2 linked regions of the Callithrix jacchus genome follow. The protein of the gene in region 1 purifies or fractionates together with the protein of each later gene. This does not show direct contact. Links are inferred from orthologs where the notes say so. Each region holds a gene or a part of one and is shown in the gene's direction. Other genes may lie near its edges.

Region 1 (7,882 bases):
GAATATAAGTCATTCTACCATAAAGACACATGCAGGCCAGGTGCAGTGGCTCCCGCCTTAATCCTAGCACTTTGGGAGGCCGAGACGGGTGGCTCACTTGGGGTCAGGAGTTCAAGACCAGCCTAGCCAATATGATGAAACCCTGTCTCTACAAAAATATATATGTGTGTGTGTGTGTGTGTGTAAACTAGCTGGAAATCACTTGAACCTAGGAGGCAGAGGTTGCAATGAGCCAAGATCGCACCACTACACTCCAGCCTGGGCAACAGAGTAATACTCCATCTCAAAAAAAAAACAAAAAAACAAAACACACATGTGAATGTTCATTGCAGCACTATGCAAAATAGTAAAGACATGGAATCAACCTAAATGCCCATCAATGACAGATTATATAAAGAAAATGTGGTACACATACACCATGGAATATTATGCAGCTATAAAAATGAACAAGATCAGGTCTTTTGTGAGAACATGGATGGAGCTGGAGGCCATTATCCTTGGCAAACTAACACAGGAATGGAAAATCAAATACCACGTGTCCTTACTCATAAGTGGGAGGTAAATGATGAAAACTCACGGACACAAAGAGGGGAACAACAGACAATGGGGCCTACTTAAGGTTGGAGGGTGGGAGGTGGGAGAGGATTAGGAAAAATAACTATTGGGTACTAGGGTGACAAGATAATCTGTATGACAAACTGCTGTGACACAAGTTTACCTATATAACAAACCTCCACATAGATCCCTGAACATAAAATAAGATTTTTTTAATGTGGTGCTTATATATAACGGAGTACTATTCAGCCATAAAAAAGAATGAGATCCTATCATTTGCAACCATATGGATGGAACTGGAGATCATTATGGAAAGTGAAATAAGCCAAGCACAGAAAGACAAACATCACATGTTTTACTTATTTATGGGATCTAAAACTCAACACAGCTGAACTCATGGACACAGAGAGCAGAAAAATGGTAACCAGAGGCTTGAAAGGATAGTGGGAGGGTAGAGGGGCAGATAGGTTTATGTGTACAACAAAATAGAAACAACGAATAAGACCTGATATTTGCTAGCACAACAGGGTGACTATAGTCAGTAATTTAATTGTACACTTTAAAACAACTAAAAGTACAATTGGACTGCTTGTAATACAAAGGATAAATGCTTAAAGAGATGGATATCCTATTTTCCATAATGTGATTGTTTCACATTGTGTGCATGAGTCAAAACATTTCATGTACCCCATAAATATACTTACTATATACACAGAAAAATTAAAAATTAAAATTATATATAGATAGGTGATAGCTGTTTATCTTATTGTATTTATATTCTTTTAAAAGTCGTATCCTTCTGTATATAAAGAATACACACCACAACTTACAAAATGTAAATGTGCAAGAGTTAAAACAAATTGTGACAGAGGACAGAAATATAATGAAAAATCGTTAGATTTTCTCACACCTATTATTTAACTTATACTACTGTTAATACTAATGGCCACTGTTTAGTCCTAATGTTTTGTTTAAATAGCACTTATGTAACAGAAAATAATACATAAAAAACATATAACTTCAAATACTTATTCTTAAGTAATGATACATATGCACAATTATTTATGTTATGGGTTTTCTTCATCTAGTACATCTATGTCCTGGGTTGGCTCTCTGAAGGTTGGTCACCCTAAGATTATAGTACCATCTTGTTTATATAAAAAATATATAAACAAGATACTATTTGTAAATTGCATAGAATAGAAACTGGTAAACAATGGTGCCTTCTGTGAAAGTGACATCAGTGGCCGGAACAGGTAAGAAAGATTTTCTTTTAGTAGGATATTTTAAAATACTCTTAAATGTTGTACTCTGCAAATATACCAGCTATTTTTTTTTCTTTTTCTGAGACGGAGTCTGGGCTCACTGCAGCCTCCACCTCCCTTGTTCCAGCAATTCTCCTGCCTCAGCCTCCTGAGTAGGTGGTACTACAGGCATGAGCCACCATGCCAGGCTAATTTCGGTATTTTTAGTAGAGAAAGGGTTTCACCATGTTGGCCAGGCTGGTCTCAAACTCCTGACCTTAAGTGATCAGCCCGCCTGGGGCTCTCAAACTGCTGAGATTATAGGCGTGAGCCACTGTGCCCAGCCTCCACCTATTTTTAAATGTTGTATCCTGCAAATATTGTAAACCAAGGGAACTGTTATTAATTTTACACAGAGGCTGGCCACAGTGACAGTGGGGAAAGGCACCGTCTCAGCATGGGAGCACATGCTCTCACTGGAAACAATGTATCGATAACACGTGTTTCTTGGCACTCCGGCCCAAACTTCAAGATGGCGGACGAGTGGACGGCTGGTTGTGGCGAGTCTGATAAGGTGAGCTGCTCCACAAAACTGAAGGGCCCACTAAGCCTGAGAAATCAGTATGTATTTGTGTATGTGTTTGTGAGGAGAGTTACTGGAGGGTTTTAAGGAAAACAGTGATTGGATTTATAACTAAAAGGTACCTCTAGCTGTGTAAGAAAGGGGAGGGGGACCCTATTTGGGGAGCATATTTCCGTAATCTTGATGAGTAAGGATGTTGGCTTGGACTCGTTAGCATCATAGTAGTACTGGATGGAGATGTGTGAAGACATGGATAGAAATTTGGGAGGTCACCCGGACAAGACTTGTTGCTAGATTGAGTGTGGATTGTGAGGTAAACAGCAATATGGCTGCCTGCCGGTTACACCCTCCGGCCTGAGCGAGTCGTGGTGCCTCTTCCTGAGATGGAAAATGCTAGGGCATTGGTGGATGTGGAGGGTAAGAATGAGTTATCTGCGACATTTTAAGACAGACATAGTGAACTGATGCACATTTTTGAAAGTCACTGGGGCTGGATGGTCGGTTCTTACGAAAGTTATTCGGGCTGTTCTGTGGGGAGGGGCTGGGAAGGGTGTAACTGGGAGGCAAGGAAAGGTCCTGCGTTTGGCCTCAACGGGGACAGACAGGAAGCTGCTCAAAGCCAAGTGAAGGCTTTAGTTTTTCATCAGGGTGAAATGGGCAGCCACAGTAGGGCTTTGAGTGTGACAAGAGCAGACCAAAGACCGGCTGTATGGAGAGCAGTCTATTGGGTAGGGTTGCCAGATTTAGCTAATAAAAATCCCGGACACCCGTTCAAATATGAATATCAGATCAACAATTATTTCGTAGCATAAGTACGGCCCATGCGAATTTGGGATATACTAAAAATGTATTCCTTGTTGATATAACATTCAAATCTAACGGGTCCAACTGTGTTGTACCAAGCAGCCCTAACACTAACTAGGTCTGGAATTTCTGTAAGCCAAAAGGGGCGATGGTAGAAGCGGTGGAGGTGTCAGGAGGGACCCCCGCAAAGGTGAGCTTTTCCCATTTGGTGCCCTTTGACTCAGAACAACTCTGGGAAGTCGAGCCTCTCGGCTCTTCTACTTCTTTTAGCCCATAGCAGGCTCCACGGGGAAGGATTCCCTGCCTCTTCCAATCCTTCTGACCACTGACGCCCGAGCGCGTCTCTTCCCCCTGGCCAGCGTCTTGCTGAAACTCCCGCCCCCGGCGGCTGGCACGTAACCCCGCCTTCTACTTCCCTCCTCCCGCTCCCCGCAGGGGTGGGGCCTGAGTGAGGAGACCGCGAGCTGCCCCCTCTCCCCGGATGACGAGTCCCTGGATAACATGGAGTCGGGCAAGATGGCGCCTCCCAAGAACGCTCCGAGAGATGCCTTGGTAAGTGCGAAGGATGAGCGGCGGAGCGCGAAGCCGGGTGCGGCCAGGGACCTGCGAGGCAAGGCCACGTTGAGGGCCTAAAGGCGGACTCGCGCGCTCACTTCAGTCCAGTCAGGGCCGCCAGGAGGAGAGGGTGATGGGGATGCGCCCTGGCCCCGGGGCCCCTCTCTCGCCGCTCGGGCCAAGCCTTACCAGGGGGTCGCGGTCCAGCAAAGCTTGCGGAACGGCTGCCCAGCTTTGTGTCCTGGGCTTCGGGCCCCTGCCGCCTCCTCGTCTCGACCTGCCAGCCTTGACTCCGCGTCCAGGGTTCTGATGCTAGCTTAACTCGCTGCCAAAACCAAAAATGACAGCCAGCTGGAGCTACCCCTACTTCTGCTGGAGAACCCAACTCCTGTCTTCTCTTTGCCCCCCCCCCACCGGTCCCCAACCCCGCCAAAAAATAAAAATAAAACTTTTCAGCAAAAGCGTACTATGCGATTTGGTGTGATCACTGACTCACTTGGGAGGACAAGGGTGAGTAGAACTTTGAAGCCCAAAGAAAGGGAACCTTGTATAATAAATGTAAATACTACCCTTCAGGCTAGCCTTGATTTCCAGTACCAAATTCTGCATCTGGCGTTTTTATTTGAATCCACAGGTGATGGCACAGATCCTGAAGGATATGGGAATCACAGAGTACGAACCAAGGGTTATAAATCAAATGTTGGAATTTGCTTTCCGTAAGTTAAACACCAAAAACTTGCCTAACTTGTGAATTTGAAAAGATATTTTTATTGTAGGAAGTTTTTTTTTGAGACAGGGTTTTCCTCTGTCGCCCAGGCTGGAGGGCAGTGGCACAATCTCGGCTCATTGCAGCCTCCCCCTCCTGCCTCCCATTGCAGCCTGAACCCTCCTGGGTTCAAGCTATTCTCATGCCTCAGCCTCCTGAGTAGCTGGGACTACAGGCACGCACCACCACGCCGGGCTAAGTTTGGTATTTGTAGTAGAGGCGGGGTTTTGCCACACTGCCCAGGCTGGTCTTGAACTCCTGACTCGGGTTATCTGCCCATCTCGGCCTCCCAAAGTGCTGGCATTACAGGTAGTGCCCAGCCTTGTGAGAACATTTTCAACTAAATTACGTTAATAGAATCATAGGATTCAGCCTAAAGCAGTTAAAAAGGAGCTCGAGCTAGGGGACAGTAGTACTCACGTGGTTATATCTGTTTAAAATTGATCATATAGACAGGACAATTAGCTATTAAAGGCAGCATTTAGGCTGGTCACAGTAGCTTACACCTGTAATCTCAGCACTTTGGGAGGCTGAGGTGGGAGGCCAGGAGTTCGAGTTATGCCTGGGCAACATAGTGAGACCCCATCTCTTCAGAAAACAAAAAATTCATAAACTGTCTACAAATTAGTGGAAACTTGTATTAAGACAAATAGCCATAAATACTAAGCTGTCTTCATATGTTTAAGAAAAGATTGTTTTGTTCTTAAAGGATATGTGACTACAATTCTGGATGATGCAAAAATTTATTCAAGCCATGCTAAGAAACCCAATGTTGATGCAGATGATGTGAGACTGGCAATCCAGTGTCGTGCTGATCAGTCTTTTACCTCTCCTCCCCCAAGAGATGTGAGCAAACTTTGATTTGAAGTTATTTTTACTTAAAATTTTTTAATCTGTAGTTCTAATAAGGATTTTTTTTCTTTTTTAGTTTTTACTGGACATCGCAAGGCAGAAAAATCAAACACCTTTGCCACTGATTAAGCCATATGCAGGACCTAGACTGCCACCTGATAGATACTGCTTAACAGCTCCAAACTACAGGCTGAAGTCCTTAATTAAAAAGGTAAGAAATTTTAGTCAAGTTGGCTTTTTTCAAAAGGTGGGATATGATAGGGGTCTTTGTGAAAAGTAAATTCCTGTAGCTAGTAAAGGTTAAGATAACGGAATTTTTTTAATTTTCAAAAAATGTATACCTAGAAGGAACTTTCGTGTTCATTTAATGCAACAATCATTTTTCACATCAGGAAGTGGAGCCTGAACTCATTTATGAAGTTAGTAGCAAAGCTAGGACTGATTCCAAGCCTCATAACTCCCAATCTTTCCACTATTCGTAGTTTTTTTAGTGAGGCCTAATAACAGAGGGAATGATATACCATCAGGAATTGGGCCAGCTTTCTGAAATATGACCTAAAGCTCTCCCACCACTGAAAAAGTTATCCCCACAATAGGGTGCCTTTGTTTTCTTAAGTTCCACTATAAGAGTTTTATTCCTTTTTGGGTTAAGAAATTGACTAGTTAAGATTAAAAATCACAAGTTAGTTGTTATCCCCATTCAAATAACACTCTATCTTAAACTTTAATATTGAATAGGATTATATATGTATTCATATCTTTTTTTCCCCCCCAAGATGGAATCTTGCTGTCACCCAGCTGGAATGCAGTGTCACAATCTCAGCTAACTGCAACCTCTGCCTCCCAGGTTCAAGCAATTCTTCTGCCTCAGCCTCCCAAGTAGCTGGGATTACAGGCACCTGCCACTGCGCCCAGCTACTTTTTGTATTTTTACTAGAGACAGGGTTTCAGTATGTTGGCCAGGCTGGTATTGAACTCCTGACCTCGTAATCCACCCGTCTCAGTCTCACAGAGTTCTGGGATTACAGGCGTGAGCCACCGCACCTGGCCTTCATATCTATTTTTACATAGATAAAGACATGTATATATGTTTATGCAAACACCAGATTAAATGTTGGACTTAAAACACTGATAGAACAAAAACAGGACTTTCTTGCCATGAATTATCCATAATCATTTACAACAATAATCCTAATTTCATTCCTGGAAAATTAAGGTGTCACATCTTAACATTAATTTGTTTTTTAAATCTCCTAGGGACCTAACCAAGGGAGACTAGTTCCACGATTAAGTGTTGGTGCTGTTAGTAGCAAACCTACCACTTCTACTATAGGTAAGTGAAAGGAGAAAATGGCTTTTCTGGCTGGTAAAGCAGTACCTCAGCACTTGGTTTTGAACTATAATGCAAGACAAAAATTGAGTCAAATTCTGTATATGTGTTATTAATAATTTTATTCATCCTCTAGTAAAACTATAAATATACATGTAACTGAATTTCAAAATGAGAAAGACACAAGGAACATCTGATCTCGAATGAGTATAAAATTAGACATTGCCCACATTGTTGTTGGTATAAACTCTGATACCAAAAACAGGAGTTTACCCTTAGCTGTGTACTTTATGCTTTCTATACAAATGTATGTGTCCTTTTGACAGATCTGTGTCATTCTGTGAGCTTTTTTTGCTTTCTGATGCAATAAGATGTTCCAAACTCATGCTTTCCTGCCCAGTTCCTAGAATCATCTACTTCTCCAAAGAGCTGTGGTTCCTTTTGGTGGAGAATGGTATTCAGAATCCATTATTTGTTTCTTTTTAATATCATTGTTGTTTAGATAGTAAGGAAAACAAATAATGTACTTAGATTTTCTGACTTTTTTTCCTACATTCCTGCTGGGTTCCTTGCATAGTCTAGTAATCAAAGTATTTTCAGAAAAATCCCTCTTCATCAGTATTAAATTATTGGCTCTTATTGCTTATAACTTGAGTCCCATGGCTGCCGTATAGCTCAAGTATAAAGAGCATTTGATTTTTGAGGTGTGTAAACCCTCTCTTCATATTCTCAGGATGTAAATTTGCATTTCAGCATTGTAAAGCCACTTTGGTATAGTATCAGTTGTACATGTCTAATTACCCACCTGTGACCCTTGTGGACAGAAATCTGCATTATAATCTTTGTAAATTTTCATCATATTCTGTTTGTGGATTCACATTACTTAAATGAATACCAACTATTTTAGGCTGGTAATCAGTTTCATATGCTAGGCAGGTTAACTAATTTTAGTTATCAGTTGTGATTTTTATTCCTAGCTAGACATTTGTTCTACATACTTCAGAGATTTTTTTAAATGTAGAGGGCACTACCAAAACATACCTGATAGTTTTAAAGATGCAAGGTTTTTTTGTTATCTTGTTTTTTGTTTTTTTGAGACACAGTCTTACTCTGTCACCCAGGCTGGAGTGCAATGGAGCAATCTTGGCTTACTGCAACCTCCGCCTCCCAAGTTCAAGCAATTCTCCTGCCTC
Region 2 (7,950 bases), on another chromosome or scaffold:
AAATGAATGAATGAATGAATGAATAAACAAATAAAAAGAAACGTTTACTGAAGAAGCAAGAATCGAGGGACTCATGAGAGGCAGAACTAAAAAATCAGATTTGGGATTAATCCTCCCAGGAATGAGACATTAAGAGTGCTGAGTGATAAAGCACCTAATGATTTGTTTAACTACATCTAAAGAGAGTAGAAAGAAAGAACTAGGCCTCATTTTGTGGAAGCAAAGACTACCTGAGAGCCAGCTGCAATAAACACGAAAGAAAAAGAACAAACGCTAAGGAAAAGTAATCAGAAAGTTCTAAGTAACTTTTAGGGCAGTAATGGCATAAACCGAATTACAAGGGAGTAAAAAGCGAGTAATGAGTAGGGCATACTTAACACTGAAAATTCTTATTTATGGGAAATAGTCTTACAAAATGGGTCCAATAACCCTCCCTACAATATATAACTTAATGAGTCATCACAGGAAGTGTTAGAGGATTAAATAAGATGACGGCTTACAATTTACAAAATACATCTCTCATGTTTCTCACCAAAAACTATGAAGCTGCTAAGGAAGATAAGGAAATTTAGGTTCAAGAAGTTCAGAAGTACCCAAAGACCACACTATCCTTTAGTGGCAGAATCGAAGCTAAAATCAGTCTTTCCTTATCTATCACACTCCAAAAACGTGCGTTAATATTTGAAATTTATGAGGAAGCAATTAATATTTTTGCTTTTTAAATTTTTTTAAAGTTTTTTTTTGTAGAGATGGGGCTGGTCTTCAACTCCTGGCCTCAAGAGATGATCCTCCTGTCTTGGCGTCCCAAAGTGCTGGGATTACAGGGGCGAGCCATGGTGCCCAGCCAATATTTTTGATTTTCTTAAAGAACCATCTGTTCTAAATTGAGTGTTTATATTTTAATATACTAAGCTTAATTGATAACTATAACCACTGCTTAAATTTACAGCTCTTCCCTGTCAAGACTCTTAAACAGAGCATCTTTCTGTAACTCTAAATCTCTGGTGTACCACCACGGGAAATTTTATTACTCAAAATAAAGCTGGTAATTAAAATAAAAACCAAACTTGAACATGCAAGAACCCACATATTACAAGGTCCATCTTCTATTTTTTTTTTCCTGAACTTAAGCCGAACGTTAAAAAAAAAAAAAGCACTTATCTACGAAATTGTTTGCTCAATCAATCCCACCTTCTATTTGAAATAAAAGACAATGACTAAACTGCACAATTAGAGATAACGGAAGTCAGGCAGCTACAATGAGACGTTCCCTACCGACACAACTATGCATCTAACAACACAGACCAAACAATCCTAACTTTTTAGTTTCAGACGCTAGACCTCTGTCCTCGCCTGCTGGCTTAAGAAACGTGTTCAGACTCTGCGAAAAGCTAAGATAGTTTTAAAGGTCTTCCATATGGGCGGAAGCTGTCGACCGTCTTACAGCAGCAAGGAGCATGGAGTGGCGGTCCGCACAGACCCAGCCAACCAGGCGGTAATGGGAAACCCTAAAAACCGAGGCTGTATCGCAATCACCAAGTAAACCAGAGCAAAGCGAGCCTAAAGGGGGAAACAGCGCAAGAGAGGACGGCAGGAAGACCGGCCTTGTGCGGACCCACTCAGCTCAGGGTTCTGAGGCCTGCAGGGGATCTGGGCAGCGCCTTCGCGGCGGTGACCCCCAAATAGGCTTCAGCAGATGGGGGGAGGGCGAAAGTGAAAGCTGCGGCTCTCAAGGGTTTTTACCCTCCGTTGAAAGCGTAGGGCGAAAATCGTAGCTGCAGAGGTCCCGCAGCTCTGTGCGGCTCCATTCCCAGCTCTCTGCCAGGACCCGAATACATGGCTGTAGAGGACAACATCTCACTGAAGCGCCCGCAACTCCGGCCGCTACTCCTGCTGCCTCACGGCGAGATGGCCGCCCTGACCGGACGTTACGCCACTTCCGGCTTTCCTGTAACTCGCTCCCGGCCTCTCTATCTCGCACTAGTCGTTGCTCCTGGAGGGCTGCTCTGCCGCTAGTCCCTTTCATAGTTGGGTCCTGCCCATTACCAGAAAGATATTAAGGTTTTTGTTTTTTGTTTTTCCCCCGAAGAAAAGATTGGAATTCACCCATATGGACAAAATTTTAAAAGTCTGACCGTGCAAAAATTTGCCAAAACTGTGGAGCAACGGCAACTGGAATAATAGTAACAGCCTAAATTGTCCTGGCTAATACAAAATGTATGTAACATTTCCTATCCTTAAAGAGCTCACAACCTCACTGATAATAGAAAGTCCAAAGGAAACAAGCGGTATAATATATGATTCCGCCAAAACGAACTATAGAAGGTAAAATAAAGGCGTGCTGACGTCCCACTAGGAAACAACTGCGGATCGAGCCTTTGACCACAGTGCCTGAAGCGGCTTGTGTTTTGCTTAGTGTTCCTAGTCATTCTACACGCTTGAAGATCAGCTAGCGTTGTTGCTGACAGGTAAGGAGCACGCGCTTACTGAGTGCCAGGCACTGCTCAGGCATTGACTGTCAGTCTCCAGAGAGCCCAAAGTTAAGCACTAGTATCATCATTATTAAATTTTACAGAAGAAACTGCGGGGAAGAAGTCAGGGAACTTGCCAACGGTAACGCCTCTAGTTGCTTGAAACACACACACCATTTAAAAATTGATCTTTCCTATGCCCAGCAAGGGCCAATTAGAGACAGCGGTGGTGCGCCCGCCCAGTCCCGGAACTCCTCAAGAGCTTCGCCCCTCCTTCCCTTAAACTACACGCCTACGGAAACACAGGAAGTGAGCAAGTGCCCACACTTCGCATGGCCACGACCCCAGTGAGAACAATTCGCTGAAGCCGAGGGCAGAACTGGCGGAAGTGACATTATCAACGCGCGCCTGGAGTTCAGTGGGGTCGGGCAGGGTTCCTGTGGCGGGCGCCTGGGCCGCCGGCTGTTTAACTTCGTTTCCGCGGGCTCATAGTAATTTCTGCAGTGACCCAGGTAACAGCTTGTCCTCTTTTCTGAGGGTTCGGGCGGAGGCGACCACTGCATTGAGGCCTGGGGGCGATGGTGGGGAAGAGACAAGGAATTGGCGCGCGCAGGCCCTGCAGGGGACGTTCCTCCCGCTCGTGCTGCCGCCGTTCCGGCCTGTAACGGCCACTCGGCCGCCGCTTTCGCCTGGTGCCCTATTCCGCTGTGGTTCGCAAGCGGCTTCCCGTCATACGAGCGTGGGGCGCAGGGTACTGGCGGGCTCGGCGGCGGCGGGCGGGACAGGGCAATCCCTTGCATCGAAGACCCGAAGTTTATTCTGCCCTGGCCTGCCACCCGCTTCTTCTCCATGTTTGAAGGCAGATTCACTGTGGTCTGTGCCCGCCTATTTTGCTACCAACATTGAGACTTAAATACTTTGTCAGAAGCCTGAGACAGCGGACACAGTAGCGCTTAAGATACAGTACACATCACTTTGTTTACAGGGCCTCCCATCTCTCGGTTCAGGCCATCATGGTTTTCCAAATCTCTAGGTAGGCTTTTCTGTGAAAAGACTATGCTTCATTTAGATATACAGACACTAGAAGGCTATGCAGAGTTAGATTGCCTCCAAAAAATATCGAATTTGATGTTTCAATTTCGAAGAGATGAAGAGACCCAGCAAACAACCCTTTTCTAGGGAGAAAGTGCAGTAACCACTGTGCGGTTTCTTCTGTAGACTTACGTGCAAAAAGTGATAAGAGCCTACCAATATTTGCCGTCTCATCTCCTGTAGTGACCTATACAGTCATACTAAGCTTGTCACCTTCATACGGCATGCTTTTTCAATGTTACCTCGTTTATCTGAAGCCCTGACCTGTAAATTCCTATTCACCTTGTGAGACCCAAGTTAGATGGTCCTTGTTTTGTGAAAACACTGCCCCTCTTCATAGTAGTGTGCTGTTAGTCTATATGTCTTCTCTTCCAGGGGCATATATGCACTTATTCATGATCACATACTGTATTCCAGGCATAGTGCTAGATGCAGGGATGACAAAGACTGGTTTCTACATTCAAGAAACTTAGCTGGCCGGGCGCGGTGGCTCACGCCTGTAATCCCAGCACTTTGGGAGGCCGAGGCGGGTGAATCACGAGGTCAAGAGATCGAGACCATCCTGGTCAACATGGTGAAACCCCGTCTCTACTAAAAATACAAAAAGTTAGTTGGGCGTGGTGGCGTGTGTCTGTAATCCCAGCTACTCAGGAGGCTGAGGCAGAAGAATTGCCTGAACCCAGGAGGCGGAGGTTGCGGTGAGCCGAGATCGTGCCATTGCACTCCAGCCTGGGTAACAAGAGCGAAACTCCGTCTCAAAAAAAAAAAAAAAAAAAAAAAAAGAAACTTAGCTTAGGGCACACCTGCTATTATACTATGTTTTATAGTAATGATTTGCATACCCTTTATATTGAACATTTTGATGCCAAGGACTATAACCTCCTAATCTTTACATCCTCATCTGCATCACTTCTGTTATTGTTATTATACGGTAACTGTCAAAAAGTATAATTTTAAAAACATCTCTGATATTTTTATTTTCAGAAGCAGAGTTCGCTTGCTTTCTTTTTTGGCCATTTTTTCAGTGATGAGTAGGTAGGATACAGAGTCTGGGGGCCTTAGCCCTTTCAAAGCGATCCTCAGAATCTTTCATTCCTTCACAAATATCTGAGTGTCTATTGTGTACCAGCACATGCTTGAAGTGCATATGCCTGAAGGGTCTTTGGACATATAATTTGTAACTTTGAGACCTGAAGTTCTGGGTGAGAATATGTTGTTATTATAAACTCATTTCAGATATGGACATGAGTAAAGAGATGATGATTTAAGAAAAGCCAGATAACAGGCACGGTTTGCATTAATGTGTTCTAAAGAGGTAAGGTTATTATTTACAAAAATGCAGGGTTTTATCTTTGTGCAGCTTTTTTTTTTAGTTTTATTATAGTAGGAGCTCAATAACTGATCACTGAAGTATATTTACTTAATTTTTTGCCCAAGACATTATAGAGGATATAAAATTGGAATAAAGATCTGAACTTTGCTTAACTGTGCTGTATATACAGTGCTTAACGAATACTCTGCTGTGATATTACAGTTTGCTTAGGAATTAGTTTCCTCTCAGTATTTTTCCTCAAAAGTTTTTGATGCATCATCATAGTATTTAAATGCGTAACAAAATGACTTTTGTTGGCGATTTTACATGTAATCACAGGAAACATGGAAGGAATAAGACTTCAGGATTATAAAGCAAAAGGCAATGTATTCCAAAATAGCTTCATTGGTTTTCTTGTTTGTGTTTTGTATAGCCATGGAACTGGCTTATAGGACTGTACAGGTTACCTGAATCCTTACATTAAACTTCAGGCTTTTTTCCAAAGCAGCATCACTGTCTCTTGGTGTGTGAAGATAACCCAAGGAATTGAGGAAGTTGCTGAGAAGAGTGTGCTGGAGATGCGCTAGGAAAAAATTGAATGGTGAGACAAGTTCCAGCCCAAGGGTTTCTGGTTTGCCAAGAAGGAAGTGAACATCATGGATCAGAACAACAGCCTGCCACCTTACGCTCAGGGCTTGGCCTCCCCTCAGGTAATACAGCAGGAGGAAGAGAATGAGAACAGGGAGGGCAGAAATATGTACTTCAAGAGATGGTATCAAAGGGAAGGAAGGGTATTTAATGATCTGTTTTTGAAAATGATTTTATATATATTTTTAAGCCTTATTTTGTTGAAACTTTCTATTAGGCTTTGAATTGGCACAATAGTGTTTTATTTGGGGAGTCTGTTTGGAAGCTAAATTAAATATTTGTTAATAAAACATTAATCTTTTGGTAAACACTTATGAGAATGTTCCAAATGATTATATAGGTTCTTTGATTTTGAAAATCACCGTCATCAAATTATTTTCTAGTTTTATTTTTCCCTTTTTACATTTCAAGCTCTCAACCACCCATCTACTTTAATAATTTTTCTGGCTAGGAGTGGTGGCTCACGCCTGTAATTCCAGCACTTTGGGGAGGCCAAGGTGGGCAGATCACCTGAGGTCAGGAGTTCGAGACCAGCCTGTTGATACCCCATCTTTACTAAATATTCAAAAATTAGTCAGGTGTGATGGCGGGTGCCTGTAATCCCAGTTACTCAGGGGGCTAAGGCAAGAAGAATTGCTTAAACCTGGGAGGCGAAGGTTGTAGTGAGCAGTGATCATGCCACTACACTCTAGCCTGGGGAACAGAGCAAGACTCGATCTCAACAAAAAAAAAAATCAGTAACTTCTGTTCAAATATAATTTGTATACAATAAAAATACTCATTTTAAATGTCAGTTGTTCTGATAATGTATGTACCTGTGTAAGTTAGGGAACATTTCAATTACCTTAGAAAGTCCTTTCTTCCCCTTTATAGTCACTTGGTTGGCCCTAGGCAACTACTGAATCTGCTTTTCAATGCTAAAGATTAGTTTTGTCTATTCTAGAATTTCATATAGATGGAATCATACAGTGTATGCTTTTTTATGTATGTATGAGTTCCTAGCCCAGTATACTGTTTGTATATCAGTAGCTAATCCATTTGTATAGCCAAGTAGCTCTCCGTTGTTTGGATGTTCCACAGATCCATTCTCCAGTTGATCACATTTGAGGTCTTTCCAGTATGGAGCTATTATGAATAAAAGCACTATAAATATTTGTGTAGACTTTGAATTCACTGTGATTTCTCATGGGTAGGTACTTAGGAGTAAGACTGCTAGGTCCTTTATCAGTGTATGTATAACTTTATAAGAAACTGCCAAGCCGTTTTCTGAAGTGGCCATAGTGTTTTGCAGCGTGAGAGAATTTTAGTTGCTCCACATCCTCACCAACACTTTGTGCTGTCAGTCTTTCTACTTTTCCTTTTACTCTAGTGATTGCTTATAGTATTTTACTGTGGTTTTGATTTTTATTTGCCTGATTACTAATGTTCCCGAGCAGCCACTCACACACAGGCCCACCTCACTTTACTGCACTTCACATTATTGCACGTTTGACAAATTGAAGGTTGTGGTAAACCTGTACCCAGTGAGTCTGTTGTTGGCATTATTTTTCTAACATCAATCTTGGTGTTAGATTTTGGTAATTGTTGCAGGATTTCAAACTTTTTCGTTATTATTTCTTATTGTTATCAAACGTTCTCTTTTCTTTTTCTCTTTTTTTTGGCAGACAGAGTTACTCTGTCACCCAGGCTGGAATGCAGTGGTGCAGTCTCAGCTCACTGTAACCTCTACCTCCTGAGTTTAAGTGATTCTTGTGCCTCAGCCTCCCAAGTAGCTGGAATTACAGGCATGCGCCACCACACCCAGCCAAATTTTGTATTTTTAGTGGAGATGGGGTTTCAGTATGTTAGCTAGGCTTGTCTTGAACTACTGGCTGCAAGTGATTCACCCACCTTGCCCTCCCAGAGTGTTGGGATTAATAGACATGAGCCACTGCACCCAGCCAAACCTTTTCATTATTGTCTGTTACTGTGATCAGTGATCTTCGATGTTACTATTATAATTGTTTTTGAATGCCATAAACTGCGCCCATATAATACAGGAACTTAATTGACAAATGTCTATGATCTGACCAGCCATTCCCCCATCTCTCCCTCTCCTTGGTCCTCCCTATTCCCTGAGCTACAACAATATGAAAATTAGGCTAATTAATAACCTTACATGACCTTTAATTAAATGTTCAGGTGAATGGAAGAGCTGACATCACTCATTTTAAATCACAAGCTAGAAATGATTATGCTTAGTGAGGAAGGCATATTGAAAGTTGAGATAGGCTGAAAGCTAGGCCTCTTGTGCCAAATAGTTAGCCAAGTTGTGAATGCAAGGGAAAAGTTCTTAAAAGAAATTAAAAGTGCTACTCCAATAAACTCACAAATGATAAGAAAGCAAAACAGCCTTATTGCTTATATTGAGAAAGTGTCAGTAGTCTG

Evidence for each region.
Region 2: the proteins of TAF9B (region 1) and TBP purify together in Homo sapiens (affinity purification with mass spectrometry; 3 studies listed by BioGRID and IntAct, with this or other methods). This does not show direct contact. The link is inferred for Callithrix jacchus from reciprocal best matches to the Homo sapiens genes TAF9B and TBP.

What each region holds. Positions count from the first base shown.
Region 1 is NC_133524.1:75,893,929-75,901,810, reverse strand, and holds the start of TAF9B (transcription initiation factor TFIID subunit 9B), read left to right. Parts: upstream 1-3,672; 5' UTR 3,673-3,687; coding exon 3,688-3,738; intron 3,739-4,375; coding exon 4,376-4,457; intron 4,458-5,216; coding exon 5,217-5,353; intron 5,354-5,435; coding exon 5,436-5,570; intron 5,571-6,616; coding exon 6,617-6,692; intron 6,693-7,882. UniProt on the Homo sapiens protein: Essential for cell viability. TAF9 and TAF9B are involved in transcriptional activation as well as repression of distinct but overlapping sets of genes. May have a role in gene regulation associated with apoptosis.
Region 2 is NC_133505.1:177,176,291-177,184,240, forward strand, and holds the start of TBP (TATA-box-binding protein), read left to right. Parts: upstream 1-2,888; 5' UTR 2,889-2,983; intron 2,984-3,137; exon of another isoform or gene 3,138-3,504; intron 3,505-5,380; exon of another isoform or gene 5,381-5,383; 5' UTR 5,384-5,531; coding exon 5,532-5,585; intron 5,586-7,950. Other genes in the region: PSMB1 (proteasome subunit beta type-1), read right to left, coding at 1,744-1,856. UniProt on the Homo sapiens protein: The TFIID basal transcription factor complex plays a major role in the initiation of RNA polymerase II (Pol II)-dependent transcription.